Linked DNA regions of Xenopus tropicalis. The main gene of each other region encodes a partner of the protein of the gene in region 2 in a complex. Links are inferred from orthologs where the notes say so. Each region holds a gene or a part of one and is shown on either strand. Other genes may lie near its edges.

What was found.
Region 1: the proteins of dkk1 (region 2) and lrp6 are in contact, whole or in part, in a crystal structure (PDB 3S8V), measured with the Homo sapiens proteins. The link is inferred for Xenopus tropicalis from reciprocal best matches to the Homo sapiens genes DKK1 and LRP6. Residues at the interface, in NP_036374.1 of Homo sapiens: Glu185, His204, Phe205, Trp206, Ile209, Gln218, Val219, Thr221, Arg224, Arg225, Ser228, Gly230, Leu231, Glu232, Ile233, Phe234, Arg236, Ser258, Leu260; in NP_001401174.1 of Homo sapiens: Arg639, Glu663, Ser665, Ile681, Tyr706, Glu708, Thr724, Arg751, Trp767, Gly768, Gly769, Pro771, Val790, Gly791, Arg792, Asp811, Thr812, Asn813, Leu814, Pro833, His834, Phe836, Trp850, Ser851, Tyr875, Met877, Arg1184.

Annotation. Positions count from the first base shown.
Region 1 is NC_030679.2:8,210,717-8,226,833, forward strand, and holds part of lrp6 (low-density lipoprotein receptor-related protein 6), read right to left. Parts: intron 15,084-16,117; coding exon 14,899-15,083; intron 13,534-14,898; coding exon 13,207-13,533; intron 12,912-13,206; coding exon 12,712-12,911; intron 12,138-12,711; coding exon 11,926-12,137; intron 10,993-11,925; coding exon 10,802-10,992; intron 10,515-10,801; coding exon 10,305-10,514; intron 10,122-10,304; coding exon 9,993-10,121; intron 7,965-9,992; coding exon 7,728-7,964; intron 7,112-7,727; coding exon 7,001-7,111; intron 6,239-7,000; coding exon 6,008-6,238; intron 4,573-6,007; coding exon 4,436-4,572; intron 4,339-4,435; coding exon 4,241-4,338; intron 2,904-4,240; coding exon 2,612-2,903; 3' UTR 1-2,611. UniProt on the Homo sapiens protein: Component of the Wnt-Fzd-LRP5-LRP6 complex that triggers beta-catenin signaling through inducing aggregation of receptor-ligand complexes into ribosome-sized signalosomes.
Region 2 is NC_030683.2:13,839,457-13,856,214, reverse strand, and holds dkk1 (dickkopf-related protein 1 precursor), read right to left. Parts: upstream 10,098-16,758; 5' UTR 9,952-10,097; coding exon 9,742-9,951; intron 8,357-9,741; coding exon 8,203-8,356; intron 7,110-8,202; coding exon 6,957-7,109; intron 6,068-6,956; coding exon 5,811-6,067; 3' UTR 5,379-5,810; downstream 1-5,378. UniProt on the Homo sapiens protein: Antagonizes canonical Wnt signaling by inhibiting LRP5/6 interaction with Wnt and by forming a ternary complex with the transmembrane protein KREMEN that promotes internalization of LRP5/6.

The DNA.
Region 1 (16,117 bases), on a different chromosome or scaffold from region 2:
ATATAAAAACCACAGGGATATAGTGTTTCCTTCACTTTGTAAGAACTGTACAGATCGGGGGGGGGGGGGGGTATAACGCGGGGGGGGGTGTCAATGTTCTGCTGGGGGGGGCATAGGACCCCCAAAGTTTAGCATAAAGTCACAGCACTTACTGGTCTCTATTATATTAAAGGTACATGCCACCCAATTAAACTCAAGGGACTGAAATCTGCCCTGCTCTTAAAGGTACAGAGTTGAATGCACCAGCGAGGGGCGGAATGTACCACATTGCAGCTGTGGGGGGGGTACCTACCATTAAAGAACAATAAAAAACACATTTCATTTACACACTGCCCCGCCAGTCGGAAGGTTGCACCGAGCATCCCTATAGAAGCATTTAGCTCCTCCCACCCCATGGCTCCTCCTCAATCAAGGGGGCATGTGGGAAATGGTTCCGTTTAAAACAACCGTGAAAGTCAAATTCTAAGCAATGTGGTTAGTTCACCTTAAAATTAACCCCTCGTATGACGTAGACTGCGATAATGTGCAATTATTTCACTTTAGGTTCAAGCAGCTCTCTGGTTGCTAGGGTGTTGTTTACCCTTAGCAACCAGGCAGTGAATAGGAGAGAACATAAGGAATGAAAAATAATAACGATAAGACTGTGGGGCCTCTCGGAGAAATAGCTTTTTGGCTGCCGGGGGCCAGTGACCCCCCCATTTGAAACCTGGAATAAGGAATGCAATCCATTTAAAAAAATGAAGAACTGAAAAGTTGCTTAGACCGGGACATTTTATAAAATTAAAAAACTATCCAATTAAAGGGGCACATCAACATAAAAACCCCTCTGTCCAATAGCTGAATGATTGGTGTTTAAACTGCCTATGGAACTAAAATGGCCCCTATGAACAGTCCTTGTACTAAACTAATACAGTTCTCACCTTTAAAGGGATTATGAGCCGTTTCCACAGTAGAAATGGGCCACTATCCCTTTAATAAACCATCCAGTTGCACCCCTTTATGGACCTGCGTCGGCTACCCCCCTATGTCTCACTACATGAAGTCGTGCTTGGGGGGGTGGGCTAAATGCCGACCCCCCCAGGCTAGAACCCAAGTACTAAGACACTAGTGAGAGGATACATTGCTAATAAATGGTGTCGCTATCACTTTAAATTAAAGAGGACACATGCTTACTTCTTTCTGAGCCATTATGTGTCTTTAAGGAATGGTATGAAGCCCAGGGGCAACTTCAAGCACCCCGCCGCCCCCCCAGGGCAGACCTTCGACGGCACGCAGGGAGCTGCAGTCGCACAACAAGTGCCCCTGCTACTAGAAAACAGCACAGAAAGTGCATGAACCCTGTATAGTGGTAGTTAATTACGTCAAAGTACTGCAAGGATATATTCTCCATAAACAAAAATGGAAGTTAAAAAAAAAAAAAAAAAAATACCCCACAAGTTACAATTACGTTTTATAAATACAATACAGTATAAAACAAAGATAAAAACAGACTTAACCCTTCTGCTGCCAGAGGCCGCTAGCCCGCATCTAGCAGTAGGAAGGTTAAATAAAATAAAAAAAAACTACTTTGGTGATGAACTGATAATGAAGACACGATCACCTCTATTGTCTTCCCAGTAGCGCCCCCTTGGGGCGGTTTAGTGGTATCGGTAGCGCTTTGTGGTAGTGGTACGGCTACACTGTAGTGGTTACGTGGTCGGGGGGGGAAGAATCAAACGGCTGGCTGCTAAAAAATCTTTCTAGCAACCTTCTTTGGCCCTCAAGTCAAAGATAAAATCATAAAATAAAATACACAAATTAAACAATTATTGTTGCCACTCAATCAATTATACAAGCCCAAGTCAGCTTGATGCACTCCCATATAGCCACAGTACAAGCCTGTATGTCTGCCCTGTATCCAGGTATATTGATACCTGGATACAGGGCAGGCATACAGGCTTTTAAGGGGCAGCTGGAGTAAAATGTAATTTAATATGGTGGGATAAGGGACCAGTGAAGCTACTGGGCTTTCATGTAGCAGAGATTCCATGTTATCCCCATAACCGCCAAGAGGGGGCAGGCTTGCTCTGCGCCTAAGCTTGGCACCAGTCGAATGGAGGAAAGAAAGGGTTAAAAAAAAAATAAAAACAATTAAGAACCATTCTCTAAAATCCGCTGGTCTGTGCTCACGTGCATTTTTTTTTTTTTTTGGTATTAAAGACCTCTTCCTATCCTATCCGTCTATTTAAGGCATTTTGTGTATTCCATTTGCAAAAATAGATATTTATATAGAGATATATATATATATATATATATTTGTACAAATTACTGTTTCAGTGGTCATGGGATTTCTTCCACACAAAAAGGCAAGGGGATTGCCCTTTCCGGGGAAGGATGGAAATATAAGCGTTACATTTATGGCACAAGTATGAAGAGGTGTAAAAAGGGTTAAGAAAATATAAATATTTGTTGTTTTTTTTTTTATCGTCTCTGTACAAACGTCCATTGTCGGAGACCCTTCTGCCCTCCTCTGGAGGGGTTCATGGTTCTGGAAACTATACACAACGGGGGCCGGGGGGTTAGATTGGGAAAGTACTCTCTCTTCATACAGTATTTACAGAGTGGGGGGGTCTCAGGAAGAGTCTGTACAAGGTGACGGAGGAGGGGGGTAAAGGTGGTGAGAGTAGCTTCGTTCCGTGTAGGGAGAGGGCGGGCAGCTTTCGTAGTTCTCCTCGGCTGAAAGGTACTGGCTGCGGGGGGTTGGAGGCGGAGGCACCGGTTCCGAGTCGTAGTTGAGATCGCTGGTGTAGCCCTTCGCCGCGGCGGAGGTGATCCGGTGGCTGGGGGTGTAGTCGCTGTCGCACACGTCGGTGCTGCAGGGAGTTGTAGGAGGGGCAAAATGCCGGTAGCTGTAGGGTCTGTAGCTGAGGAAGAAAGAGAAACATTAGGAAATATAGCAGACTGCTTTTTATCCCCAGGAATATAATGATTTTGACATGTTAAGGTCCCCATACACAGGCCGATTCTAGCTGCCGATATGGGTCCCTTAGACCGATTCGGCAGTTTATCGCCCCGTGTAGGGGCACTAACGACGGGCCTGTCTGACTGATATCTGGCCTGAAATCGGGCAGGTTTAAAACTTTAGTCGGATCGAGGACCGCATCGGCTCGCTGATGCAGTCCCTGAACCGACTTTGCCTATACCCGTCGTTATAATTTGATTGTTTGGCCCCAGTGCCAAACAATCAAATTAGCCCGGATTCTCCCGATATCGCCCACCCGTAGGTGGGGTATATCGGGAGAAGATCCGCTCGCTTGGCGTCTTAAGGTGTATGGGGACCTTATGTGATGTGGGGTAGTGCACAGTGTGTGTCCAATACACATGGGGTAGTGCACAGTGTGTCTCCAATACACATGGGGTAGTGCACAGTGTGTGTCCAATACACATGGGGGAGTGCACAGTGTGTCTCCAATACACATGGGGGAGTGCACAGTGTGTCTCCAATACACATGGGGTAGTGCACAGTGTGTGTCCAATACACATGGGGTAGTGCACAGTGTGTCTCCAATACACATGGGGGAGTGCACAGTGTGTCTCCAATACACATGGGGGAGTGCACAGTGTGTGTCCAATACACATGGGGTAGTGCACAGTGTGTCTCCAATACACATGGGGTAGTGCACAGTGTGTCTCCAATACACATGGGGGAGTGCACAGTGTGTGTCCAATACACATGGGGTAGTGCACAGTGTGTCTCCAATACACATGGGGTAGTGCACAGTGTGTCTCCAATACACATGGGGTAGTGCACAGTGTGTCTCCAATACACATGTTTTGGATTCACTCCCACGGTCGTTACAACTCGATCGTTTGTGTATATATACACAGGAACAAACGGAGCACACCATCCAGAGAATCCAAATCCCTGGGTGCTGGCAAAAGCAGAGGGCCGCACACACTGGGACTTTGCAAAAAAAAAAAAAAAAAAAAAAAAAGTATTTATTGAAAAAGATCCGACGTTTCAAGCACTAACGGCGCTCTTCTTCAGGGAAAAACTGTTTTTTCCCTGAAGAAGAGCACTGTTAGTGCTCGAAACACACAGGGACTTAGATATATATATGAATAGCCCCAAGCTGAGCTGAGACTGCCCCAGCAACAAAGAAGCAGCCAGTTGTAGAAAAAAAGTCCCTCTCTAGTAGCAGCCTACAGCAGGGCCTTCTAGATACTGTGGGGGGGGGACTGGAGTAAAAAATGCACTCACCTGTATGATCTGTGGGTGGAAGGACTGTTTGAGGAGTAACCAAATTCCATTGTGTAATGGGAACGCTCCGTGGCTGGGGAGGGAGGTGGGTTCAAGATCTATAACCAAAGGAAAAGAATATTCAGGTTTATGGAACATCTTCTGTTTATGTATAAACACCGTATGGGGTAGGAAACACGGCAGCTGGATACCTACCGGTGGGAAATAGGTTCCTTTAGTGCTGGAGGAGCTGCTGGATGAGGCTCCGGTCACATGAGCCCGGTCATACGGTGGCCCGCTGCTTCCAGCCATAATGCTGAGAGAGCTGATAACAGATTTCCCACGAGACATCCCTGTGTTAAGCAAGAGAGTGCTTAGATAAGTGCTTTCTGCATCAGCAGACCTTAGAAATGATTCATCACTGCATTGTTAAACTGCAACACCCCTTTGTATTTCACCCTCATCTGGCGCAGCGGTTGGATCCCTGTTACTTAAGCTGGTTTCAACAGAGTTTAATGGCTTTCTACTAATGAATGGCCCATGGAAAGTACAGCTCTGTGATCTCTTCCCACAATGGCCCGCAGCTGTTACATGACACTGCTGCGCACACAATGCAACAAGATGCTCTCGCTGTTTAATAGAAGAACTGGAAACTTTGCTGCATCCTCGCATTAAAGGCAGCGGGAGGATAAAAACCCCACAACAAAGGGGCGAGAAGGAATCATCGCAAGGAGCCAAGCTGCAGGGGATCTTTTTTTTTTTTATCCCCACCCCTAGATTTATTTCTGTTTAACTTTGTATGTGAGCTGGAGAATGCACAAAACCACATGAAAGGCCTCATAACAAAAAAACCTGCGAGTGGAGGAAATGATCCATTACAAGCAGGTTCCTGCATGGACTGGCAGTCAATACAGGCATGGGATCCCTTAACCTGTTATCCAGAAAGCTCCAAATTATGGAAATCCGGTCTCCCATAGACTCCATTTTAATCATAATAATTTAGAAATTTGAAACGGATTTCCTTTTTCTCTGTAATAATAAAACAGTACCTGTACTTGATCCCAACTAAGATATAATTACCCCTTATTGGGGCAGAACAGCCCTATTGGGTTTATTTAATGGTTAAATGATTCCCTTTTCTCTGTAATAATAAAACAGTACCTGTACTTGATCCCAACTAAGATATAATTACCCCTTATTGGGGCAGAACAGCCCTATTGGGTTTATTTAATGGTTAAATGATTCCCTTTTCTCTGTAATAATAAAACAGTACCTGTACTTGATCCCAACTAAGATATAATTACCCCTTATTGGGGCAGAACAGTCCTATTGGGTTTATTTAATGGTTAAATGATTCCCTTTTCTCTGTAATAATAAAACAGTACCTGTACTTGATCCCAACTAAGATATAATTACCCCTTATTGGGGCAGAACAGCCCTATTGGGTTTATTTAATGGTTAAATGATTCCCTTTTCTCTGTAATAATAAAACAGTACCTGTACTTGATCCCAACTAAGATATAATTACCCCTTATTGGGGGCAGAACAATCCTATTGTGTTTAATTTATGTTTTATTGATTTTTTTAGTAGTCTTAAGGTATGAAGATACAAATTACGGAAAGACCCCTTATCCGGAATACCCTTGGTCTCGAGCATTCTGGATAACAGGTCCTATACCTGTACAAGAGCATTCAGCATTATATTTATTGTATCTAAATGGAAAGAGTACCATCTTGGAAAATAAACAGCAGGCATTTTGGTGCTGGAGTCACCGGCTCTGTACTCACCAGGCAAGGATCCAGTCAGGGAGCTCGGATGTGGCACGTATGCTAAGGGGACGGAGGCGGGTCCATGCACCACATAATCGTTGGCCATGGTCTCCCCGTCTCCTTTCATGCGACGACACAGCACTCGCTGACAGATAAAATACACTCCCCCTACTACGAATACGGTGAGGATCACGCCGATGATGGAGCCGATGGTGTTGGTCGATGGAGGAGGTGGTTCCTCTGTGGGATCTGGAAAATGTAAAATAAATTGTGTGGAGAGTTGAAGAGTAGGCCTGGAGAGAGCCTTTAGCCTTGCAGATTAGGAGAGGTATGCACAGCTTGCATCAAGGCAAAGGTTCAAATACAACTCCCAGAATATCATGGCAATATTTGGCTGATGCTGATAGTTGCACATCAACATCTAAAGGGTGAAGACACACAGAGCTACTAGAAGCAGCTACTTTTTCACACCTACTAAGCACCAGAAAATCCCCTGCCATAGACAATACAGAGGATTGCCTCTGCTAAAACACATGTAGAGACAGTTATCAGTAAATGATCAGCATTGTCTATTTTAGTAGCCACGACAAGTAGCTGCTACTAGGGCTACTGGGTGTCTTCACCCTTCAGGGGTGCTAAAGTGCAATGGCAAGCTTGAGACTCCCATGCAACTTTTAGGGTAAAGACACACAGCTACTTAGTAGCAGCTACTTGTCACGGCTACTAAACCCCAGAAAATACCCTGCCATAGACAATACTGAGAATTGCCTCTGCTAAAACACACGTAGAGACAATTATCAGTAAATGATCAGCATTGTCTGTTTTAGTAGCCACGACAAGTAGCTGCTACATTAGCTCCGTGTCTCTTCACCCTTAAATACAAGTCCCAAATCTCTGCAGGACCCCGAATGTGACATGCCAGGTTTGTAACAGAACACACACACTATATGACTTTTTGCTGACAACTTTATTACTGAAACTTAGGCCAGCAGTTATAATAGCAGCACTTACAGCAAGCTTGCTCGTCTGAGCTGTCACTGCAGTCCGGGCTGAGGTCACAACGCCTGTGCTTCCCGATGCACTGTCCGCTGCCACAGTGGAACTGGTCTGGAGCACAGACTTCTGCAGAAAGACCAGAAAAAGCATCTTCATTATTAGCAGCCTTCATAATTGACTGGTTCAGTGTGTCAACTTAGCTTATTCATTTCACATCACTGGTACCTTAGGGGTAAAGACACACAGAGCTACTTAGTAGCAGCTACTTGCCATGGCTACTAAAAGCCAGAAAATCCCCTGCCATAGACAATACTGAGAATTGCCTCTGCTAAAACACAAGTACAGACAATTATCAGTAAATGATCAGCATTGTCTATTTTAGTAGCCACGACAAGTAGATGCTACTAGTAGCTCCGTGCGTCTTCACCCTAAAAGACACTGGGGCTCATTTATCAACACTGGGCAAATTTGCCCGTGGGTAGTAACCCATAGCGACCAATCAGTGACTGGCTTTTTTCAGCCAGCTGCATATACAACAATGAATGCAACAATTTCATTGGTTGCCATGAGCTAATGCCCATGGGCAAATTTGCCCAGTGTTAATAAATGAACCCCACTTTCTTTTCCCAACAGGCCTCTTTTAAGAGTGCTTTCACAAACTCTTCAATGCATATAAGGGGGGGGATTCAAACACCAACAAATGAATGTCTGAATAAAACCATTTTCAGAAGCAAGCCCGTACCATTGCAGTTTTTCTCATCAGACTTGTCCTGACAGTTGGCTTCTCCGTTACAGCGCAGAGAGGAGTCAATGCACTGGCCGCTGGCGCACTGGTACTGCGTGTCCGAGCACATGGGGCAGTTCTGCTCGTCGCTGTGATCCTCGCATTCTGTAAAGCCGTCGCAGCGCCATTCCGCCGGGATGCAATCAACCTCGCCGGTGAAACAGGTGAACTGCAGGGGAGAGCAGGTAGGAGGCTCTGTGGGGAAAATAAAGGAAATTATGTTATACCCACTTAATAACATTTTAGGGTACATCTAGATATACGCAAAGAATAGACACATAAAAAAAATCAAAATATAGCCACAGGATTGGATGTCCCAATTGTAACCACTAGATGGCAGTGTCAGAAAGCGGAAATGCACACACATGCTTTCTCTGGGTAATTCTGCGTATAGTAGCAATACCCTGTACCCAATTTTGTATCAATGAAAGAAACCAGAAGACAAACCTTATATAAAAACAAACAGGGTGTGTTTTTGCAGTTACCGTATGGCCTGAATACTATAACAGACAGAATCTAATCCCTTAATGGCCTAGCACAGGCACTAATATTCTGTTACACAAACAATGACTTTCATTGAGTGCTCTGACCTCTAGTAACCTACAAGCAAAATAGAGCAAATGTGACCCAGGGCGAAGAGCCGGCCGGTTACAACAGAAGCCTCTGGCAGTGGAATCAGAAAAGAACACAGTATCATGGGGTTGTATAGCTTTGAGGGTCCTCATTGTAAGCAGCAGTCCTGCCCTGCTTTATGGCTGAGATTCTAGCTATCTGTATAACAGAGCATTCTGTCACAGTGGCACAGATCCTATCTGATCCCCCCATTGTAAGCAGCAGTCCTGCCCTGCTTTATGGCTGAGATTCTAGCTATCTGTATAACAGAGCATTCTGTCACAGTGGCACAGATCCTATCTGATCCCCCCATTGTAAGCAGCAGTCCTGCCCTGCTTTATGGCTGACATTCTAGCTATCTGTATAACAGAGCATTCTGTCACAGTGGCACAGATCCTATCTGATTCCCCCATTGTAAGCAGCAGTCCTGCCCTGCTTTATGGCTGAGATTCTAGCTATCTGTATAACAAAGCATTCTGTCACAGTGGCACAGATCCTATCTGATCCCCCCCCATTGTAAGCAGCAGTCCTGCCCTGCTTTATGGCTGAGATTCTAGCTATCTGTATAACAGAGCATTCTGTCACAGTGGCACAGATCCTATCTGATCCCCCCATTGTAAGCAGCAGTCCTGCCCTGCTTTATGGCTGAGATTCTAGCTATCTGTATAACAGAGCATTCTGTCACAGTGGCACAGATCCTATCTGATCCCCCCATTGTAAGCAGCAGTCCTGCCCTGCTTTATGGCTGAGATTCTAGCTATCTGTATAACAGAGCATTCTGTCACAGTGGCACAGATCCTATCTGATCCCCCCCCATTGTAAGCAGCAGTCCTGCCCTGCTTTATGGCTGAGATTCTAGCTATCTGTATAACAGAGCATTCTGTCACAGTGGCACAGATCCTATCTGATCCCCCCCATTGTAAGCAGCAGTCCTGCCCTGCTTTATGGCTGAGATTCTAGCTATCTGTATAACAGAGCATTCTGTCACAGTGGCACAGATCCTATCTGATCCCCCCCCCATTGTAAGCAGCAGTCCTGCCCTGCTTTATGGCTGAGATTCTAGCTATCTGTATAACAGAGCATTCTGTCACAGTGGCACAGATCCTATCTGATCCCCCCCATTGTAAGCAGCAGTCCTGCCCTGCTTTATGGCTGAGATTCTAGCTATCTGTATAACAGAGCATTCTGTCACAGTGGCACAGACCCTATCTGATCCCCCCATTGTAAGCAGCAGTCCTGCCCTGCTTTATGGCTGAGATTCTAGCTATCTGTATAACAGAGCATTCTGTCACAGTGGCACAGATCCTATCTGATCCCCCCATTGTAAGCAGCAGTCCTGCCCTGCTTTATGGCTGAGATTCTAGCTATCTGTATAACAGAGCATTCTGTCACAGTGGCACAGATCCTATCTGATCCCCCCATTGTAAGCAGCAGTCCTGCCCTGCTTTATGGCTGAGATTCTAGCTATCTGTATAACAGAACATTCTGTCACAGTGGCACAGATCCTATCTGATCCCCCCATTGTAAGCAGCAGTCCTGCCCTGCTTTATGGCTGAGATTCTATATATATATGATTAGCAGTAATACAAAATAAATCTACACAGCACTCACCCCCACAGGACAACTCATCTTCCTGCAGAAGGACAAGGTGCATCGGGCAAGAACAGCGGGTGGTTCCATCTCCTTTCACTATGCAGATGTGGGAGCAGCCCCCGTTATCCTGGGAACAAGGGTGTTCCTCTGTTAAAACAGAAAAGGGAAAAGAACAATGAGAAAACAAGGCCATGATTCCAAATTTCAAAGCTTAATACCCCAAGATTTGTAATTTTACTAAATAATTCTAATATTTGAAGTGGTTGTTGCTTAGCAACTCCAAAACGTATCTACAGAAAAGGAAATTAGTATTAATAAGTGGATACTAACTGTATTCGTCCATGCTCAGTTCTGTCACAGCATGGATATCAGTCAGCAGAGGGATACGAGCTTGGATCTTGGTGCGACCCACGCGTCCGGTTTTCTCAATGCGCTCAATCATTTGTTGTTGCCGGTCAATCCAATACAGGTGATTGCCAAAAACAGTGAGTCCGACTGGCTGCAGCACGTTAGAATCTTCTAGAACTATGCGATGGCCACCTGGAAAGTACCAGAGAGCAGTGTAAGCGTTGACCAATAACATAATTAAAGGCCATTTTACTGTAACGATCAAAACTAGGTATGCAAAAAAAATATGTAATAAATGCACTTGGAACAATGAATGAAGTAGGAATCACTCTATCCAAACGGAAAGCATGTGATTAAAATCACACAGCATTCTTACTTTCCCATTAAGTTGGTACTAGACCACAGAACGGAACCATACTAGAACTCATAACTGTCATTTTCAGTTTTAGTCCTATAAATTCGCTATTCTCGCACTTTACCGGATAGGTCACTGCTTTCGATCCTCCTCAAGTCAGAGTCGGCCCAGAAAAGTTTCCCCATTTTGTTGTCGAGCGCAAGCGCCACTGGTTTGCTCAGGCCGGTGAAAAACAGCACCTCTCGCTCTGTCCCATCAAGAGCAGCTCTTTCGATTTTTGGCGATCGCTCCTGGAGGTTGGTGAAATACATGTACCTAGAAGATCAAAGCAAATGGGAGTTTCAATGCAAAGCTGGTTCAGAACCCCTACCGGCCCATTAACCTGGAAGTGTAAATGGTTCACAATATTTAATTTTTTCAAATTATACACCATATCCCAACTCCATAAGCAAAGAAACTACCCACACAGTCAGGAAATCAAGGCAGATCTGCCCCAAAACAGACAAATTTATATTGGTCATTTTTTGTTTTTGAACTCAGGGTGCTGAACTCAGGGTCGGACTGGGGGGTGAAGGGCCCACCGGGGCCCGTGCCCATAGCCTGCCCATATGGCCAACGCCCATAGCCTCCCCCCCCCTGGAGGGGCCCCCCTAACCCCCCTCGCAGGTTCCCCCACCTGACGTTCTTCCCCGAGCGCGTAAATTTAACACGTGGGGACAGGAGCGGTCGTGCAGGGGGAGCGCCACAAGGGTTGGGTCTGGGCCGCTGGGGCCCACCGGGATTTTTACCGGTGTCCCGGTGGCCCAGTCCGACCATGGCTGAACTTTTTCACAAACAACTGACATTTATACTGTAAGAACGGACTTCTGCAGAAATTTATATTTATTTATTTATATTGGTCTTTTTTGTATCTGACTTTTTAAAAAACTGTGGTTATGCTGACGAAGGGAGGGAGCGCCCCCCCACCCCGAAACGTTGATTATTTTTATGGTACATTGGCAATGGGGTAAGCTCCTCAGCTGAAATTTTGCTTGAGTGCAGTCTCTATTTCTGCTTTGTTCTATACATTGTTGGGGCGTTGCCATACATCTAGAAGACTTTGCACCACAGAAAATTGCGGGTGAGTGCAGCTGTGCCCCAAAACAAACCATCTTGTGGGTGGTTCTGTAGGTACCCACCACCACAGACCTGATTGTAGATCAGGGAAAAAGAATAAACTATGCGTAGATAAAGTTCTGTATTTCCTACCCTCTCTCTGGATTCACAAGGATAGCTCTGGGACGGTCTTGTTCTCCCTTTAGAACCACCCCGATGGCTCTCCCGTCCAGCCGCGTGACGTTGATGACATTGGTGGCTTCGCAGGTCCAGTAAATCAGGCGACTGTAGACATCGATGCTCAAATCGTACGGCTGCATGTCTATATTCTGGTTGGGGACGGTGCTTGCCACTACGGTCATGCTCTGTGAAAAGGGACAGGTAAAGAATAAAAGGATGTTGTTAGTATCAGTGTTATTTGTGCAGCTTATGATGCAGACTGAAACCTGCTGATGTCCCATATCCATAACCCTTGTGATACACAAGCTAATCATATGAAGACACAATGCCGAACATTCTTTACAACACATATATACATATATACAATATACAGATGGGAGAAAGCCATGTGACTCATAAGGTGTTTAAACTCATGATGTTCTAGATCATGGGTCCTCAAACTTTTTAAACCGGGGGCCAGTCCATAGTCACTCAGTCTGTTGGGGGGCCAGACTATATTCAGTCCTCAAACTCCAGCCCTCGGCCCCTGCGCCCCGCTGTGTCTTCACCCCTGGCTACTACCTGTCTGGAGTCGCACCGGCCAACTCTAATTACGTTGGACGCGACACCCTGGGGCTGAGGACTGGTCAGACAGGTAATAGCCATGGTTGAGGACGCAGCAGGGCTGGGTAAATGATCTTGGGGGGCCACTGGACCCTAGCAACCAGACAAAAAGCTAAACAATTAAATAAAATAAAGCCCAATTGAGGCTAATTGTACCTGGCTGCCATCTTCCTGAGCCCGGCGTATATTCTGCCGCGAGTCAATCCAGTAGAGCTGCTTCTCCAAAGGGTCGTAGTCGATGGCTCGGACGTTGCGTAGGTTGTGAATGGGCAGGATGATGTCGGGACTCTGCTGCTCATCGATCACCATGCGGTTTATGGCATTTTTCTGACTGAAGAGCAGGAAGGAACTTGGAGCTGAAACACACAAAACCCCATTAGTTTTCTTTAGATTGATGCGTATTTCACGACAATACATTATGATTTTAAATATTCCATCTACTAGAGAGATATTATCTATATATTATCAATATATATGGCTATATAGAGATATATATATATTATATACTTTTACTACACTGCTCAGTCTCCTTAATGGCATTTTGGAGATCTTGGGTCATGCAGCAGGGCAGGGACGTGTATCAGCCCAGCATTTCATCACAATAACCCCCCCACCACCCCCAAAGCCAGCCACAGAATATGCTTGACTTACGACTGCAGGTTTTGTTGTCCGCATTCAACGAGTGGTGTACCGGGCACCCACAGGTATAGCCGCTGACAGGTGTGGCCAAGCATAGATGAGAACAGTGACCATTGCTGGAGGCACACTCGTTCCAACCGGCCTGCCGGGAAGAGTGAAATACTAGGATGTCCATGACGTAGTCCAGGTCATTCTGGATCATGGTCCGATTCTGCCCGCTGGTCTTGTTGGCTCTCTCAATACTCCGTTGGCTCCAGTCTGTCCAGTAGATATAGTCCTGGTACTGGGTTAACCCAAAGGGGTGGGGCAAGTCGTCGGCAATCACTACCCGGTCCAACCCTAAGAGCACAAGAGCATGATTACTAAAGGCAACATTTCAGCTGAATACATGTGGCATGATCATTTAACAAAATTATAGAATTATTAAGTATAGGATCAGTGGTGTTTGGCCTTCTCTAAGGCCAAACAGAATAGGCAACAATGACAGAGCATTGATAAACAAAAGGTGGGCAATTAAGAATGCCTACTGACCCATTTATGGGGTATATGGCTGACCCAGAACTACTACTACTACTACTACTAGTACTAGTCAGCAACAGGCTATATTTTGGCTACTTAACTATTTAATAACATATAAAAGCCATTAAAAAGGGGAAGAAAAATAATCCGTTCCCATAAATTTTAAAGCGGTACGGTAAGAATTACAGATAGTTATAAGACAGAATGAGAGCATCGTGTCAATTTTTGGATTTTCTATTTGGACAAACCAACACCTAATGGGTTAAATGATAGAATGGAAACCCATGTGTTTTAGAATTAGGAATAAGGTATGTTAATAGCTGGTATAAAATACGGGCTAGATAGTGTTATGTGATATTTGATTTGTTGCATTTATTTATTTGCTTCATTAGGTATGGCTTGTATTTTTATTGGTTATTACTGGAGTTAACTTCTGCCACTAAAAAGGAAGGATTTTTCGTCGGGGACTTGTTGATGGGGTCCCCGAACCGACGGACGCCTATACCAGCTGTTCTAATTCGATGGTTTGGCCCCAGGGACAAATGACCGAAATAGCCCAATATCACCCACCCGTAGGTGGGGATATTGGGAGAAGATCCACTCGCTTGGCGACATCGCTGTATGAACACTGATAAGTATATGTAACCGGATCCAGCAGATTGGAAAAAGGCTATTTGCCCAATAAGCTTTTTTTAAAATCACGCTTGTGAGTAGTAATTAAATGTTTTTTATAATCAACACTATTAGCACTTGTAACTTTCTTTTTTTTTTGTCCAAAACAAACGTGCCTGGCCCTTTAAGAGCAAATGCCATAAAGCGTCAGGGCGTAGGGGATGCGCAAGGCACGGGGAAGATGCTGATAGAAAGGAGGCTTTTGTACAAAGCGGATCAGTTACTGAAAACATGATGTTAAACATTTCCCCCTGCAGATAAATCCTTTTTAATGCAAATCAAGTGCGCACAGCGAGCGGAGCTTGGCACCTCTCCACGTACAGGCGGGCTCCGGCGCAGCCGGCCGGGTCTGTGCAACGGGCTGCAGAATGAGCAGCACAGCTGGGGGGGCAGCCGCTTCACCCCTATAGTCAGTCCTATGCAAACATAAGCCTGACTATAAACAATAATAATTAGCTGGGTTATTAGGGCAAAGACACGTGGGGGGAGAACAGGGAGGGAATTGCTTCTCACCCAGCATATTTGAAGATTCAATAAGATTAGTATCCAGATCCGTCCAGTAAAGCCGCCTCTCCGCATAGTCAATTGTCAGCCCGTTGGCCCGGCCGACATCCGGCACCAGAGTGATGCGCCCACTTCCATCCATGGCGGTCCTGTCAATCTTTGGTTTTCCACCCCACTCAGTCCAGTACATAAACCTACAAGGAAAGAAACAGAACATATCACATACAATTCACATACTATTCACAATATTATCATCACAAATGGACCTTATTTTACATAGAGGACCAAATAGAAGGATAAGCAATAAAGACTACTTACAAACTGTATAACTAGATCAGCATCTCAGGGTAATACCAGAGTGGGCTAATTCAAACTTAGGGGGCTGTTCCTGCTGAATTGTGCTTAGTACAGGGGAATCCCTATGTGCCATAGTTTTATGGTATCTCTCTGTACAGGCTATGAGCAAACTTAGGGGGCTGTTCCTGCTGAATTGTGCTTAGTACAGGGGAATCCCTATGTGCCATAGTTTTATGGTATCTCTCTGTACAGGCTATGAGCAAACTTAGGGGGCTGTTCCTGCTGAATTGTGTTTAGTACAGGGGAATCCCTATGTGCCATAGTTTTATGGTATCTCTCTGTACAGGCTATGGGCAAACTTAGGGGGCTGTTCCTGCTGAATTGTGCTTAGTACAGGGGAATCCCTATGCTGCCATAGTTTTATGGTATCTCTCTGTACAGGCTATGAGCAAACTTAGGGGGCTGTTCCTGCTGAATTGTGCTTAGTACAGGGGAATCCCTATGTGCCATAGTTTTATGGTATCTCTCTGTACAGGCTATGAGCAAACTTAGGGGGCTGTTCCTGCTGAATTGTGCTTAGTACAGGGGAATCCCTATGTGCCATAGTTTTATGGTATCTCTCTGTACAGGCTATGAGCAAACTTAGGGGGCTGTTCCTGCTGAATTGTACCTATTCTGGGACATACTTATGCTGGCAACATTTCATGGTATCTCTCTCAACCCCCGAGATTCTCTGAACAATAACACAACATCCCTGGGGTCAGTAAGCAGACAATTGTGCATTTTCTGGCCAAAACCCAGACAGATGCTGTGCCCACAACATGCAGGGAGGGCGGCAGCAGAGCAGCAGTTTCTCTGTGGGTGTATTTTTATCAGGAGCAGATTCTGCGCTTCGGGAGTGTGGGACATAACACATGTTATGCCTATGAAC
Region 2 (16,758 bases):
GTGTACTGGCAGTGTACTGGTGGTGTACTGGCGGTGTACTGGTGTTGTATTGGTGGTGTACTGGTGGTATACTGGTGTTGTACTAGCGGCGTACTGGTGTTTTACTTGTGGTGTACTGGTGTTGTATTAGTGGTGTACTGGCGTTTTACTGGTGGTGTACTGGTGTTGTAGTGGACATCTCACCTCAGACTTAGTGTCCTGGAATCATAAGGCTGAGACAAGAAGACAAGTGCTCCCAATTGTCCCCATACACAGTGCCCCCCATAGACAGTGTCCGCCATACACAGTGCCCCCCGAAGATGGTCTTCTTTGCCTTCTTCTTTGGCTTTGGTGGCTTCTTTGGGCCCTATTATAAGGTTGCGCCCCGTATGTACTGATGTCACACATACGCACAGGGAGCGACCAATCGGGTTGGATTATGGATGACAGGGCCTGTAATAGATTAAAGGTGAAGAGTGCCCGGACCTGGAACAACTGTCTCCCCTGTGCCCCCCTGTGCCCCCCTGGTGGCAACCCTCAGTTTGGGAAGCCCTTATTTAGATTGTCCCGTTGCGGATTAGTTACTATCATCGGCTGGAATGGGCTATAAAGGGTTTTATTCCCGACGGAGCTATGTATCAATATTGATACATCTGGTTATCACCATAGCGATGCTCAGCAGTCTAATCCCCTATATTAATGCGCACTCACAATAAAGTGACAGCCTGGCAAACATCATTCCTTTTGATCAGTCTCTTTCAAGCCAATGGCCATTGTGCGACTCCTGAAAGGGAAGACCCCCGAGTATTTCCTTTTCCAGGATGTCGGAGTCCAATTGAAATCACAACCCGCGCTCGGGGCCCTTTTCTGACTGCCAAAGGGAAAGAGAGACCTCACTTTGCTGCTTTTTGTTCCAATTCTCAGCGAGAGATCAAATGACGGCGGCTGCAAACGGAAATATCTCCTTTATTGAGGGTGCAGGACATGAGGGTTTTTTGTTTCCATTGTGTATCTTTTTTTTTTCCTGGGACGGCGGCCCCAGATAATCTATGAGACGGCCCGGGCTGGAAGCTAGAGAGGACAAAAGCCCCGAGACACAGGAGGAGAAAGGGAGAGTGTCGCGTCTTGCATGGCCAGCCGCTAACAAAAGCCAAGGGAACGTCTTCACTTCCTAAGCCATGAAAGGAGAATTCCCCCCGGGGACAGACTGGGCCCTTCAGCCATTCATGTTCTATCACTCATTGGCTGGCTGGGCATGATGGGAGATAAAGTTTGGCAATAGTGATGGGCGAAATGTTTTGCCAGGCATGGACTCGAGACAAATTTCCGCATTTCGCCATTGGCGGATTGTTCCGCAAAGCGGATGAAAAAATTTGTCGCCCGCAACAAAAGAATAGCCGTGCGACAAAAAAATAGCCGCGGGTGACAAAAGAATAGCCGTGTGACAAAAAAATAGCCGCGGGTGACAAAAGAATAGCCGTGCGACAAAAAAATAGCCGCGGGTGACAAAAGAATAGCCGTGTGACAAAAAAATAGCCGCGGGTGACAAAAGAATAGCCGTGCGACAAAAAAATAGCCGCGGGTGACAAAAGAATAGCCTTGCGACAAAAAAATAGCCATGGGTGACAAAAGAATAGCCTTGCGACAAAAAAATAGCCATGGGTGACAAAAGAATAGCCTTGCGACAATAAAATAGCCACGGGTGACAAAAGAATAGCCTTGCGACAAAAAAATAGCCACAGGTGACAAAAGAATAGCCTTGCGACAAAAAAATAGCCGCGGGTGACAAAAGAATAGCCTTGCGACAAAAAAATAGCCGCGGGTGACAAAAGAATAGCCGTGCGACAAAAAAATAGCCGCGGGTGACAAAAGAATAGCCGCGGGCAACAAAAGAATAGCCGCGGGCGACAAAAGAATAGCCTTGCGACAAAAAAATAGCCATGGGCAACAAATTTTGGGCGACATTTTTTTTTTTGACGTGCAACACTTTCGCCGTTTCGCGAATCTTTTGAAAGATTCGCAAATTTTTCGGCGAAGCGAAACGGGACAGATTCGCTCATCACTATTTGGCAACAGTTTCCCTTTGGACTGTCGGGTCCCCTTGGCCTATAATATACCAGCCATATAGAATCTAATGGTAAAGTTAAATAGTGATGAGCAGATTGTTTTGCCAGGTATGGATTTGCGGCAAAATTTCTCATTTCGCCATTGGCGAATTGTTTCACAAAACATCTGTAAAAACGGCACGAAAATTAGTGGCGTCAAAAAAGCCGCAGTCGCAGCAAAGTAGGCGCGCTGGTGGCACAATAATTGCGCACGTCATAAAAAAAACACAAGCATCAAAATTGTCACGTAGTTTCGCAAATTTCTTGCCGTTGTGTGCATTTTTTGTAGTTTTGTCAATTTTACAGTAACATTTTTGAGTTTCGTGAATTTCATACAATTCACGAAACTACAAAAAAATGCGCGCAACGGCAAAAAAGTTGCAAAACGGTGGAAAATTCATTGAGACTACGTGACAATTTTGATGCGTGTGATTTTTTTTTTACACGTGCAACATTTGTGACGCAAGCACGCCTACTTTGATGCGACTGCGCCTTTTTTGACGCGCCCACTAATCCCTCACCTGAGTGAATCTGTCCTATTTCGCCATAAAATTCACGAAACTGCTCAAAAAATCACGAAACATAGGAAAATTTGCGAAACGCACAAAATTACGTGTGCCAAAAAAAATTGTAACGTACGGCTGTTTATATTTTCTGCACTACTGGTTCTGACTCTTGAACCAATGTAGCAGCAGCCGGCTGAACCCCATCCGTTGCACAGAGAGGGATAAACAAATGCTGCTTCCAATGCTGCAATTAATGTATATTGGAAAGATGATTAGAATTCCACGTTCTTTCATTATACAAAGCTGTTTTGGGGTGGAATTTCCCCTTTAGGCAGCGATAAGCAGAATGGCATTCAGTATTCCTTTGTTCTTCCTGCCATCCAATAGAGTGGCAAGAGTGTTACCTGTGCAGGCTGCAGCACGTACACAAGTTGGGGGGGTGCAATTGGAGATGGAGCAAAAGAGTATGGGGGCAGGGTCAGACTGGGTCGCCGGGACACCGGGAAAAATCCAGGACCCTTTGCCGACGCTCCCCCTGCCCGACAGCTCCTCCCAGATGCGTTAAATTTATGCGCTCGGGGGAGGACATTGGGTGGGGGGCCCTGCGCGGGGGGTTAGGGGGGCCCCTGCGGGGGGGCGGGGGCTCCTGCAGGGCCCCTGGGGCGGGAGCCCCAGTGGGCACTTCACCCCTCAGTCCGACCCTGTATGGGGGTGTACTGGGCAAGCTGGGGGGGGGGGGGGCAGGAACGTGTTATGTTGTTCAGGCCAAACTGCAGGGAGGAGTCTGAGGGGGGAAAGTGCCCCCTTTTCAGGGCTTTTTCATATTCATATCCTGGTGTTACTGCCCCTTAAAGGGTGAAGACACACTGGGCTACTAGTAGCAGCTACTTGTCACGGCTACTTAACTCCAGAAAATCCCCTGCCATAGACAATACTGAGAATTGCCTCTGCTAAAACACACGTAGAGACAATTATCAGTAAACGATCAGCATTGTCTGTTTTAGTAGCCACGACAAGTAGCTGCTACTAGTAGCTCCGTGTGTCTTCACCCTAGTACCTGCGATGCTGTACCCCCCATATTCAGTGAGAGGATCCTGCACCGTGTAGTTCTTTATAAACCCCAATGTGCAGTGAGTAGGAAACCAGTGGCTCAGTTTGGCCGCTCCGGCCCGGGGCTTAGGCTGCCGTTTCATTCGTTTAAGCCTTTAATGAGATCTAAGTTGGGAGGCAGATAATGGATTGACTTTAGTATTATCCCTTATGTTAGATTAGGCTTCAAAGGGCCTGATTATCTGTTCAATAACTGCCGTCATTACAGCCTCACTGGCGACACTGTATGAATCAGTATAGATAAAACCTGTCGCTTTTCTGCTCCTCCAATGAAATATTAGCATTTGGCCCTCGTTGTTTCATTTAAGGGTGAAGACACACTGAGCTACTAGTAGCAGCTACTTTTCCATGACTACTAAACTCCAGAAATTCCCCTGCCATAGACAATACTGAGAATTGCCTCTGCTAAAACACACAGGCAATTATCAGTAAATGATCAGCATTGTCAATTTTAGTAGCCACGACAAGTAGCTGCTACTAGTAGCTCCGTGTGTCTTCACCCTAAAGGTTACATGACTTCTATCTGCCTAGCAACCAGCTAAAACACACACAAACATATATATATGTGCGTGTGTTTTAGGGCTCTGGCACACGGGGAGATGGCACCCTGTTCGCGGGCGACTAATCTCCCCGAGTTGCTATCAGTTGTCATCCCACTGGCGAAAATGTAAGTCACCGGTGGGATGGCACACACGGCAGCGCGATTTCAGCAAATCGACGAAAATGCCTCGCGAGGCAACTTCGACGATTTGCCGAAATCGCCTGCGTATTGTGTGCCATCCCACCGGTGACTTACATTTTCGCCAGTGGGATGACAACTGATAGCAACTCGGGGAGATTAGTCGCCCGCGAACAGGGAGATTTGTCGCGGGCGACTAATCTCCCCGTGTGCCAGAGCCCTAAGGGTAAAGACACACTGAGTTTCTAGTAGCAGCTACTTTTCCATGACTACTAAATGCCAGAAATTCCCTGCCATAGACAATACTGACAATTGCCTCCGCTAAAACACACGTAGAGACAATTATCAATAAATGATCAGCATTATCTATTTTAGTACGACAAGTAGCTGCTACTAGTAGCTCTGTGTGTCTTCACCCTAAAGGTTACATAACTCCTATCTGCCTAGCAACCAGCTAAAACACACATATATAGTTAGCAATATAAATGTTGGCCTAGTTAAAGATATAATAACCAATGCAGATTTTCATTAAAGGGGAAGTAAACCCTATTTTCAATTAGGGTAGTTCTCTGGCTACTTTCCCTAACAGACTGCTGAAAGGGAGTTCCCCCATACCAGGTCCTAAAATGTAGAGTTGCCCCGTGGGTCAACTCTGATAGGTAGCCCCCCCCCCCCATACAAGGTCCTAAAATGCAGAGTCGCCTCGTGGGTCACCATGTCTGGACGTCATATCCTTTCAAAGCTTCTCTGGAGCTCCGACCGCTATGGACCTCTGCCCAGGAACAAGCAAACTGGAAACCAGCAATGGAGGCTGGGAAAGGAAGTGATGCAACCGGCATGGTGGCCACCAATCATGCTGCACAGGGGTCCTCTTGTGTAGCATGAGGTTTAGTTACCCTTTAATAAATAAGATATTTCCACCGCTAATAAATTTAAGCTATAAAGTTCTTATATTGTAAAATCCCCAAGGTCCAAATACTGCCACGTGCAAAAAAGAAATCGGTTTGGAAATGTTTTATTTCAATTAGAAATACAGACGTACTAGACGTTAAAATCTACATAATATTTATATAGATATATTTATATATAAACAGGGAAGAGCGAGTCGGAATGTACAAGGCGGCCGGTTACAATAGAGAGGATCATGTACATTTTCTATACACAGATATTTACAGCTGTTCATCATTATTAACCAATTTACAACACAGTAATTTACTGTAATTAGGAATTAATAAGAAGTTCCTATAAAAAAGAAACAAGTTGTGCAGCTCTGGGCTCGGGGGGGGGAGGGACCAGAGCACTTCATGTAAACTGATACGCCCCCAAAGGCAGAGCGACCAATGTCCTTATTAGCGGCCAATGTCCTTATTAGCGGCCAATGTCCTTATTAGCTTAATTTAGAGAAGGTCCTTCAGGCTCTGCAGGCCTCACTTAGTGTCTCTGGCAAGTGTGAAGTCTCGAGGTCTTAGGGACGGTCGTAAACTCTCCCTTCTGTAACCGACAGGAGAGTCCGGCGCCGCAGTGGCAACGCTGGAAGATCTCCAGCCCGTGGGAGCCTTTCCTCCTGTGCTTGGTGCACACTTGGCCTTCCTCAAGCACCGGCTTGCAGATCTTCGACCAGAAGTGACGGGCGCAGCATAGACCTGGGGCGCAGTCGGTTGATCTGAGGCAGACGTCACCATCACGACCTGTTGGGCAGAAAAGAAAAAAATATTAGACATGATTATATGGATATTAATGGGCCACCATACCAAGATATATTGTATACTAGCCAATATAGGGAATAATGTACCCCCTACTATAAGTGATAAGGATATTAGAAGTCACTGAGGGGTTCTGTGCCCATATAAAGGCACAAGGCTGCAGGCTGAGTTATACAGGGAACTCTGAGTATCACTCATGTATTATAAGGGATAATGTACCCCCTACTGTAAATGATAAGGATATTAGCAGTCACTGAGGGGTTCTGTGCCCATATAAAGGCACAAGGCACAAGGCTGAATTATACAGGGAACTCTGAGTATCACTCATGTATTATAAGGGATAATGTACCCCCTACTGTAAATGATAAGGATATTAGCAGTCACTGAGGGGTTCTGTGCCCATATAAAGGCACAAGGCTGCAGGCTGAGTTATACAGGGAACTCTGAGTATCACTCATGTATTATAAGGGATAATGTACCCCCTACTGTAAATGATAAGGATATTAGCAGTCCCTGAGGGGTTCTGTGCCCCCCATATAAAGGCACAAGGCTGCAGGCTGAGTTATACAGGGAACTCTGAGTATCACTCATGTATTATAAGGGATAATGTACCCCATACTATAAATGATAAGGATATTAGCAGTCACTGAGGGGTTCTGTGCCCATATAAAGGCACAAGGCTAAGTGCTAACATTATAATGGTTTATAACAGGGGTGCATTTTTCTTTATAATACCAGTGACAACCCTACGCACAGAATTTATTGCATGGTCCCTAAATGCTTTCTATACTCATTGCTGACATTAAACCCACATATAATAACCACGTTCTACAGACCCAGCACTCTATAGCCGCGTATCAGCCAACAGGCTTACCTTTAAAGGGCTGCATTCCCGAAGGGGACGTGGTTAATTTTGAATGCGTATCCATTGTTGCGTGATCGGCGTTATAGTTTTCCAGAATGGTTTCCTCCAGGTATCCCTGCTGCTGGAAGCGCTCTTGATCTTGCTCCACGGGGACACATATTCCTAAAGGGGGGGGGAAAGATGAGTTTAGATGAGTGCAAGCCCCCCGCTCCGAGCCACCGAACCTCTTTCAATACCTATTCACATAATGCAATCACCTGCAGCCCCTTAAACGATGCAGGACAAGGAGACAGTGGGAATTAGTGATGCCCTAGTGAGCCCCATAGAGCGCCCAAACAATAGGCGACCTACATGCTCAGCAGGGCAGGCAAAGCTAACCTACAATTGCCCAGGCCGGGGGCCATTACCGATTGTAATGCTAATCGGAACCTCTGGGTTGTACTGGTTTTAAGAGAAAACCCTCATGTTGCCTGACATTGTCATCAATTAAGGGGGCAACGCCATGTAGACGTGAAATGGGGGGGGGCTTTTGATGTCAATTAGCGAGGCATTACTTTCAACGTCAGGGTAGATGGAGGCGGCGTACACCTCGCGGTTCTTTTCATGTCGCTTATAAACAAATGCCATTATGTAATGACGTGGGCTAATTGTGCTCAGGGAAAAAAAAAAAAGACTTTGATCAGAACTTGACAGCTGCTGGAGTGGCTTAAAGTCGGAATTTCACCTTGTACTTTAGCAGCAAGTACATCAAGACAGACTAATGACATGTGGGGGTTGTCAGTGTGGCAGACAATTAGGCAGATGAGCTTTGCTCCGGATCATTTAGTTACCCTTTAACTGCTAGTAAAGGTGTCTGTCACCCGTACAAATCGCATACGGTCATGAAAAGATTTGCAGTTGGTCTTATTTTTTTTTTTGCATTTTTGAAAAGTTTATTTTAGTTTATGTTACTATAGTAACAATAAACATCTAGGTGATCATTAAAAAGCTACTAAGGCAAAACTTCCCCTTGGGCACAGGATCACAGTATAAATTATAAAATGTCATTATGGGACAACGGAGTCTACTTAGTCCCAATGAATAACATTTTAATGTTCTGTAAATGGAGAAATAAATCCTTGGGATGGGATTTGAACCTATAAAATTACTTGTGCCATAGAAAGAAATATATCACGGAATCAAGTATTGAGACCATCATCCTACCCCCCCCCCCCCCACCCCAAAGGCCATGACAGTGGTAACAAAAGCCCCTTACCGTTGCTACAGTAGTTGCCGGTGCAGCACATTGCGTCCCTCAGGCAGCGCTTGCGGCGTTTCCGGCATGCCAAGCAGACCAGGGAGTTGCCATTTCTGGAACTGTGGCAGAACTCATCCAGGGCACAGTCGTCATCTTCTGTGCAACCGTAGAGCTGGGGGGGAAACAAGAGGAACAGGTACTTTAGGGTGGGGGGGTATCAGGATATGTATTGCTCCAGTGCAAACACAGGTGTGTATCCAAAATATGGCAATAAAGGGCAACTAAAGCCCTATGAGAGGTGGGGGAAATGAAGCTTTCAAAAAATAACAGTATACTGTGGGGAGATCACAGAATAATACAGGAAAATGACAGAATGTGTGACCAAAAAAAACAGGGGAATGACAGAATGATAAAGGGAAACAATCACAGAATGATACAGGGGAATGAAAGTATGGAAATCACAAACCAATACAGAGTATTTTAGGCAAACATGGAATGATAATGGGCAATGACAGATGAAAAACACAAGGAGAAGATTATACAGAATAGTATCAGGAGCAATCACAAAATTATAGAAGGAGATGACAGAATGCTGTAGGAAAAACCACAGAATGCTTTTCTGTCACTACACATGAGCCAATCAGCTGAGCTGACAGCCCTTGCATCACTAGAGCAGCCTTCCCCTTCTGGCTTGCACCCCAGCTAGCATGTAAGGGTTAAACACCAACTGTCAACTATATTCCTAACAGTCAGTTCCGACTGTCACCCTCACTGCTCAATACAGTTGTTTAACAAGGTAGAGATGGAACAGTAACACTATACTCTTTCATAGACAGAGATAGATAGATAGATGATAGATAGATGATAGATAGATGATAGATAGATAGATAGATAGATGATAGATAGATAGATAGATAGATAGATAGATAGATAGATAGATAGATAGATAGATAGATAGATAGATAGATAGATAGATAGATAGATAGATAGATAGATATGGATAGATGATAGATAGATAGATAGATATGGATAGATGATAGATAGATAGATAGATAGATAGATAGATAGATAGATAGATGATAGATAGATAGATAGATAGATAGATAGATAGATAGATAGATAGATAGATAGATAGATAGATATGGATAGATAGATAGATAGATAGATAGATAGATAGATGATAGATAGATAGATAGATAGATAGATAGATAGATAGATGATAGATAGATAGATAGATAGATAGATAGATAGATAGATATAGATAGATAATATAGTAAAGACAGTTAGACACAACCAGAGGCTCTGAAAAACATTGCGAAATGGAAAGGCTATACAATGTATCAAACTATTACGCATTTGACAACGTTTCGGGCGCATCATCTAAACTGTATGCAGAGCCCTACAGTATCTATACCCATAGGAATAAAAGTTGATTTCCCTGATGAGAAGAATAAGAATGACCCCCATCCTTCCAGCCCAACGTTTCGGACCCCCATCCTTGCAACCCAAGAGGCAAGAAGCATCTGACGCCGGACTTTACGCTTTATGGCCACTTACCGGGTAGGCATCCAAAGGTTGGTATTTGTTGGCAATATCATATAAGGAGTCCGGACTGACACTGACAGGGTAGTAGCCAATGGGTTGCCCAGCCGGGGCCGCTGGGACGTTCTTGATGGAGTTGGAGTTGGTCATCATGACAAAGCCAAGTGCCCCATCCAAGATAAACCCCCCCAAGGCAAAAAGAAGCATCAGGAACATCTCGTCCATTCCTCTGTCCCAGTAACCAATAACGGCAGGATAAGTCCTCCGGGGATAAGTCCCTTGGGTGCTGCTGAAGACTTGGGTGCTGCTGATGGCTAGGGTGCTTGGGTGCTGCTGAAGGCTTGGGTGCAGCGCCGGTTGTGACTGCTGCGCTCCGTGCTCAGTTCTGGAGAAGCCGCCGAGGCGCAGCGGTATTTATAGCGCAGGGTTTGTTTGCGCACACGCCCCTCCGCTCAGAACAACAAAAGCCAAGGAATTGGGATTTCAAAGCCCTGGGATTTATGACGCTCCGGCAAAGCTTAAATCACAGGGCAGACTGGCAGCCAGGGATTTCACAATAATTGTAATTATCAATTAATTCTTTTTTTTTTTCTTTTGCAAGATCACACAGGGCTTCCTGCAGAAGGGATTGCGCAAGCCATAAGGATAAATGAGGGAAAGCCTTCATATTTTATCCTATTATCGCATCAGCGGCGTAATCGTGATTTTATATGGTTACAGGTACTGGGGTGTGTAACTGGGATCGATCCCCTGTCCTGTGTTACACTGCTGGCCCTTATAGGCACTGGGGGTAAATGTGGCCCCTAGGATTAAATGAACTTTTTAAACTGCTTTGATTCACCTGATTTATTCAAAAGGGACTGGTATATAACAAGTTGCCCAAGGAATGGTCTGTAGCCATGTAGGGTGCTGAATACATGGGGCCCTCCCTGCAGATATTTGGCAGTACATGGTTATTGAATTTGACATTTTAGGTGGCCCAAATAGGTTGCGCTGCTGGGGGCCACACTGAGCTGCAGTTGTCAGTAGGAGGAGATAGGGTATAGTAGGAGTTGAGGGCAGGGTACCTACAAGAAGGCAATATATATGGTAGAGATAGGGCAATATGGTGGTAGTAGGGCAAGATGGTAGCCATAGGGCAATATGGTGGTAGAAGGGCAAGATGGTAGCCATAGGGCAATATGGTGGTAGAAGGGCAAGATGGTAGCCATAGGGCAATATGGTGGTAGTATGGCAAGATGGTAGCCATAGGGCAATATGGTGGTAGTATGGCAAGATGGTAGCCATAGGGCAATATTGTGGTAGTGGGGCAAGATGGCAGCAATAGGGCAATATGGTGCCAGTAGAGCAAGATGATAACTGTAGGACAAGATGGTAGTGATAGGGCAATATGGTGGTAGTAGGGCAAGATGGTAGTGATAGGGAAATATGGTGGTAGAAGGTCAAGATGGTAGTGATAGGGAAATATGGTGGTAGAAGGGCAAGATGGTAGTGATAGGGCAATATGGTGGTAGTATGGCAAGATGGCAGCAATAGGGCAATATGGTGGTAGTGGGGCAAGATGGCAGCAATAGGGCAATATGGTGCCAGTAGAGCAAGATGATAACTGTAGGACAAGATGGTAGTGATAGGGCAATATGGTGATAGTAGGGCAAGATGGTAGTGATAGGGGAATATGGTGGTAGAAGGGCAAGATGGTAGTGATAGGGCAATACGGTGGTAGTAGGGCAAGATGGTAGTGATAGGGCAATACGGTGGTAGTAGGGCAAGATGGTAGTGATAGGGCAATATGGTGGTAGTAGGGCAAGATGGTAGTGATAGGGCAATATGGTGGTAGTAGGGCAAGATGGTAGTGATAGGGCAATATGGTGGTAGTAGGGCAAGATGGTAGTGATAGGGAAATATGGTGGTAGTATGGCAAGATAGTAGTGATAGGGCAATATGGTGGTAGTAGGGCAAGATGGTAGTAATAGGGCAATATGGTGGTAGTAGGGCAAGATGGTAGTGATAGGGCAATATGGTGGTAGTATGGCAAGATAGTAGTGATAGGGCAATATGGTGCCAGTAGGACAAGATAATAGCTGTACGACAAGATGGTAGCAATAGGGCAATACGGTGGTAGCAGGGCAAGATGGTACTGATAGGGCAATATGGTGGTAGAAGGGCAAAATGACAAGATGACATGGCAAGATAGGAGCAGAATGATAAAATGGTGATAATAGGAGCTGCACTGGGGCAGAGACTGGTGTGAATGGTGTATAATCTCTATAAAGGAATAGAGCAGCACTATATATATGAAGAATAAAACAAGAGATGAAGTAAATGTACGGACACATAACAAATAAAAAAGGTGTCTGGGGCAGAAAAGGATTCGGGATCATCAAATATTGATTATATTAGCCAAGATCAATTAGTGGCTGCACTGAACAAAAGGTGTCGGGCTTCTGTGTCCCCCCCTTCTAACGGCCTCAGCCCAGACACAGGCACAATCAGATGGTGATAATGGGCCGCTGGTCATTAGCTCCTCGCATCTTGATTGGCTGCAGTGATAAATACTCAGTGCCCAAGTGATTACTGTGGCCGCCATCTTGCTTCCTCAGGTGCATTGATCACTCTGTGCATGTATGGGGGCATTGGTCAGGGGGAGACTTCATAGATAGATCAGTTGTTGTGCCAGGGGGTCTCAAATTGCCCCCTTTGGGGGGAAACAGTCACCTGTTGGGGGTGATGGAGACTTTAAAGATGAGCCCCCACATGGGCACTAATGACAATGGGCCTATGACTATTTTACATTTATCAATGCTGTTTTAGTATCAGTTTTCCCTGCAGAAACCTCTACCTTGAAATGGTTAATACCCCTTTTTAACATAACAAGTATTTGTGTATTGGGTGTGGGAGCCTATCCCATGATACCCAGTAACTCTGGGAAAATGTCTCTTAGCCCCATAATAATGAACCTCTGATTGCTGGCTGGGAATGCTGGGAATTGTAGTTCCCAACAAGGTCCTGTATTAATGAATTATATAGAAACTTTCATATATGAGAGCAAGGATTCAGGTGCTGCCTCTGTTTTATTACATGTCCGGTGGAAAATGTAAGCTCTGTGGGCCAGCAATTCAATGTAACTATACACCGTGGCAAAAAGGGTTCGAAATATATTTATATATAAGATTAAATTCAATAGAGTTCAGTTATAATGCAGTTAATTTAACCAGCATGCCTGCTTTTATGTAATGAAGGTCATGATAAATAAATAGTATATATATATTTATATATATATAAATACACAGTATATATATAGCCGTCAGTATATTCTAGGCAGAATACTTCCCTTCCCAGCGGCTCTTCATTTATAGCTGCCTTGGAATGTCATCAGTGTGACCCCTAGTGGTCGAATTAGTAATATGCCTGGACCATAACTAATACTTTGAAAGTACAGAGTGATGAAAAGTTCCAGTCATTAGTGAAGGAATGCCATTAACTCTTTAGTTGCCAGAAACCCTCAATTCCAGAAACAATTCCACAAGATTACAAGCACAAAAATGCAGTTTGATCTTTCAGTTCCAACGTACTATTACTGTATTAGGGGAGGGGTAATCATAGAGTGAAATCAAGAGCTTCAACTGTCTCATGTATTTGGGTGTTTTCATTTTTGTAGAAACATTGGGGTAACAGCCACCCTGCTATAGTTCCAGGGGTACCCAGGGCACAAATAAGCACTCACCCCAAATCCCCCCCTAACTGGCCTTCAGGCTGGGCCCCCTTAGCCCATAACAAGGTTACAGATATATAGAAACATTGGGGTAACAGTCACCCTGCTATAGTTCCAGGGGTACCCAGGGCACAAATAAGCACTCACCCCAAATCCTCCCCTAACTGGCCTTCAGGCTGGGCCCCCTTAGCCCATAACAAGGTTACAGATATATAGAAACATTGGGGTAACAGTCACCCTGCTATAGTTCCAGGGGTACCCAGGGCACAAATAAGCACTCACCCCAAATCCCCCCCTAACTGGCCTTCAGGCTGGGCCCCCTTAGCCCATAACAAGGTTACAGATATATGGAAACATTGGGGTAACAGTCACCCTGCTATAGTTCCAGGGGTACCCAGGGCACAAATAAGCACTCACCCCAAATCCCCCCTAACCGGCCTTCAGGCTGGGCCCCCTTAGCCCATAACAAGGTTACAGATATATAGAAACATTGGGGTAACAGTCACCCCGCTATAGTTCCAGGGGTACCCAGGGCACAAATAAGCACTCACCCCAAATCCCCCCTAACTGGCCTTCAGGCTGGGCCCCCTTAGCCCATAACAAGGTTACAGATATATAGAAACATTGGGGTAACACTCACCCCGCTATAGTTCCAGGGGTACCCAGGGCACAAATAAGCACTCACCCCAAATCCCCCCCTAACTGGCCTTCAGGCTGGGCCCCCTTAGCCCATAACAAGGTTACAGATATATAGAAACATTGGGGTAACAGTCACCCTGCTATAGTTCCAGGGGTACCCAGGGCAGATAATACTCTAATGCACATTATTAGGCCAATAGTGGGGGCAGTTTTGGTTTTAACAGGGGAATTTCCATTACCCTATTTATCCGGGGCAGGGAGATAGGGTCAGCACAGGGCAGATTCATAGTGAGAGAGTTCGAGGAGGAACGGCCTATTGCAATTAAAGGAAAATAAGGGCCACATAGCACAGAACGGTGTCTCCATTTAATGCGTACAGGACACAAACAAACACAGAGATGCTCCTATTTATCAGCGGCTGCTGCCGGGGTTATTATTATTCTGTGCAACAAGAAGACATGTATTTCCACACTTCAAAAAGCTGCCCTGCCGAATTTTTGGCATTCTCTGTCTATAACCTCAAATTTGAGTCATTAGCCAGGCACCGACGCTTCCCGATGTGAGGCCCAGATAAGCATTCATGTTTCCCTTATTAGTGCTCTCTCCCCGGCACAATAGCTGCGTGTCACCTACAAAGTGCGGCGTGGGTGCACACATCAAAGGGGGCCTCCCCAGCATTACTGGGCCCAAAACTATGCACCCTATGCACCCAATGCACCCTATGCAAACAAATAAGGGCTGGGGTCCGTGTGTCATATCCTTGGGCAGCGTTACATAAGAAAAAAATAATCATTTTAAAGGGGGACTCCACCCAAAACGATCAATCGAAAGCGATATCTATCCGCCTGGTCTCTGCATTGCTGGGTCTGACTACTGAAACAATGTAGCCGAAGCCGCTAATAAAAATACCTGGAGGAGAGCTGAGTTCTGCTACATTGGTTCAGTAGTCAGAGCCAGCAATGCAGAGAACAGAAAGGGATAAACGCAGTTACATTCTAAGTAATCAATGTATATTGGAAGGTTGCCGGAAAACATATGAAGGTATATTCTGTATATTAGTCTTTCCCATAGATAGGGTTGAATTGGGCCGGCCAGGTTAGGACTGGGGGGTGAAGGGCCCCCCACCCAACGTCCTCGCCCAAGCTCGTAAATTTAACGCGTCAGGGGAGGAGAGGTTGGGCAGAGTTAGCGCCGGCAAGGGTAAGGTCTGGGCTTTGGGGCATTTTTCCCGGTGTCCCAGCGGCCCAGTCCGACCCTGGGGCCGGCAGAAAAATCCCAGTGGGTCCCGGCGCTTTTGGGTCCCTCTGGCCCAGAACTGATCCCTGCTGGGTGCTCCGGGGCCTGCAAGTCCCCCTCTCCCGACGCACCTTAGTATGTGCTCTTGGGGAGAGGGTTGGGTGGGAGGTAGGTAGAGGCCCGGGGGTGTATGTGGGGGCCACAACAGGGGTCCTTGGGGGGGGTGCGGGGCCCCTGGGGCTGCAGCTCCCCAACTTGAGCAGGGGAAGATACAAAAGTGACAATCAATGCACAAAGCTCCATAGGCAAAATGGGCCCCAAGCTTATCATGAAACGATCATTTAAAAGTACAATTTGTCTATCAATGAAAAATGACCATTTCCAGCGATATCGTCAAATGGGGGTCACTGACGCCAACATAAAAAAAAACAAATGCCCGCTAAGGCTACAAGTTTACTGTCATTGCTACTTTTTATCACTGATTTTTATGTTAAAGCCCTCTCCTGTCTGTAATTCAGACCCTCATTTAAATCACTGCCTGGTTGCTAAGGTCATTTGGACCCTAGCAACCAAATAGCTGCTGAAATCCCAAACTGATGAGCTGCTGAATATAAAGCTAAATAACTCAAAACCCACAAATAATAAAAAATGAAAAACAGTTGCAAATTGGGGACCCCCAAAGGGTGCAATTAGGGGTGCAATTTGTATACTCAAGCACTTATGCCTGTTGCGTTGGTTAATGAGGGTATGAAGAAGGGACCCTGAAGAAGGTAAGTACCATGGGGTAATGGTTGGACACTTCTGTAGGAATAAGCTCCAAGAAGGGGATAGGTAGGCAAGATATAAATAACAGACTATGAGGGTGATGTAATAAAAGACGCTATGTTTGCCCAGGTGCAGTAACCTATAGCAACCAATCAGCAGGTAGCATTAAGGATGAAGACACACAGAGCTACTAGTAGCAGCTACTTGTTGTGGCTACTAAACAGACAATGCCGATCATTTACTGATAATTGTCTCTACGTGTGTTTTAGCAGAGGCAATTCTCAGTATTGTCTATGGCAGGGGATTTCTGGAGTTTAGTAGCTGTGAAAAAGTAGCTGCTACTAGTAGCTCTGTGTGTCTTCACTCTTATCAGAGGCTATTCTCAGTATTGTCTATGGCAGGGGATTTTCTGGAGTTTAGTAGCCTTGAAAAAGTAGCTGCTACTAGTAGCTCTGTGTGTCTTCAGCCTTACTGGTCACCACATTAAAAGCAAACATCTTATTGGTTGCTATGGGTTACCGCACCTGGGCAAACTTAGTGCCTTTTATTACATATGATGGTTTATTGGAGTCCTTTCTGGGTTTTTATTGCATTTAAAGAGATCATGGTTCCCCCCCTTGTCTTGTAGAGCCCTGATAAATGGCCCCGTGATCAGTAATGGGGCACTTTAGGCGGGTCCC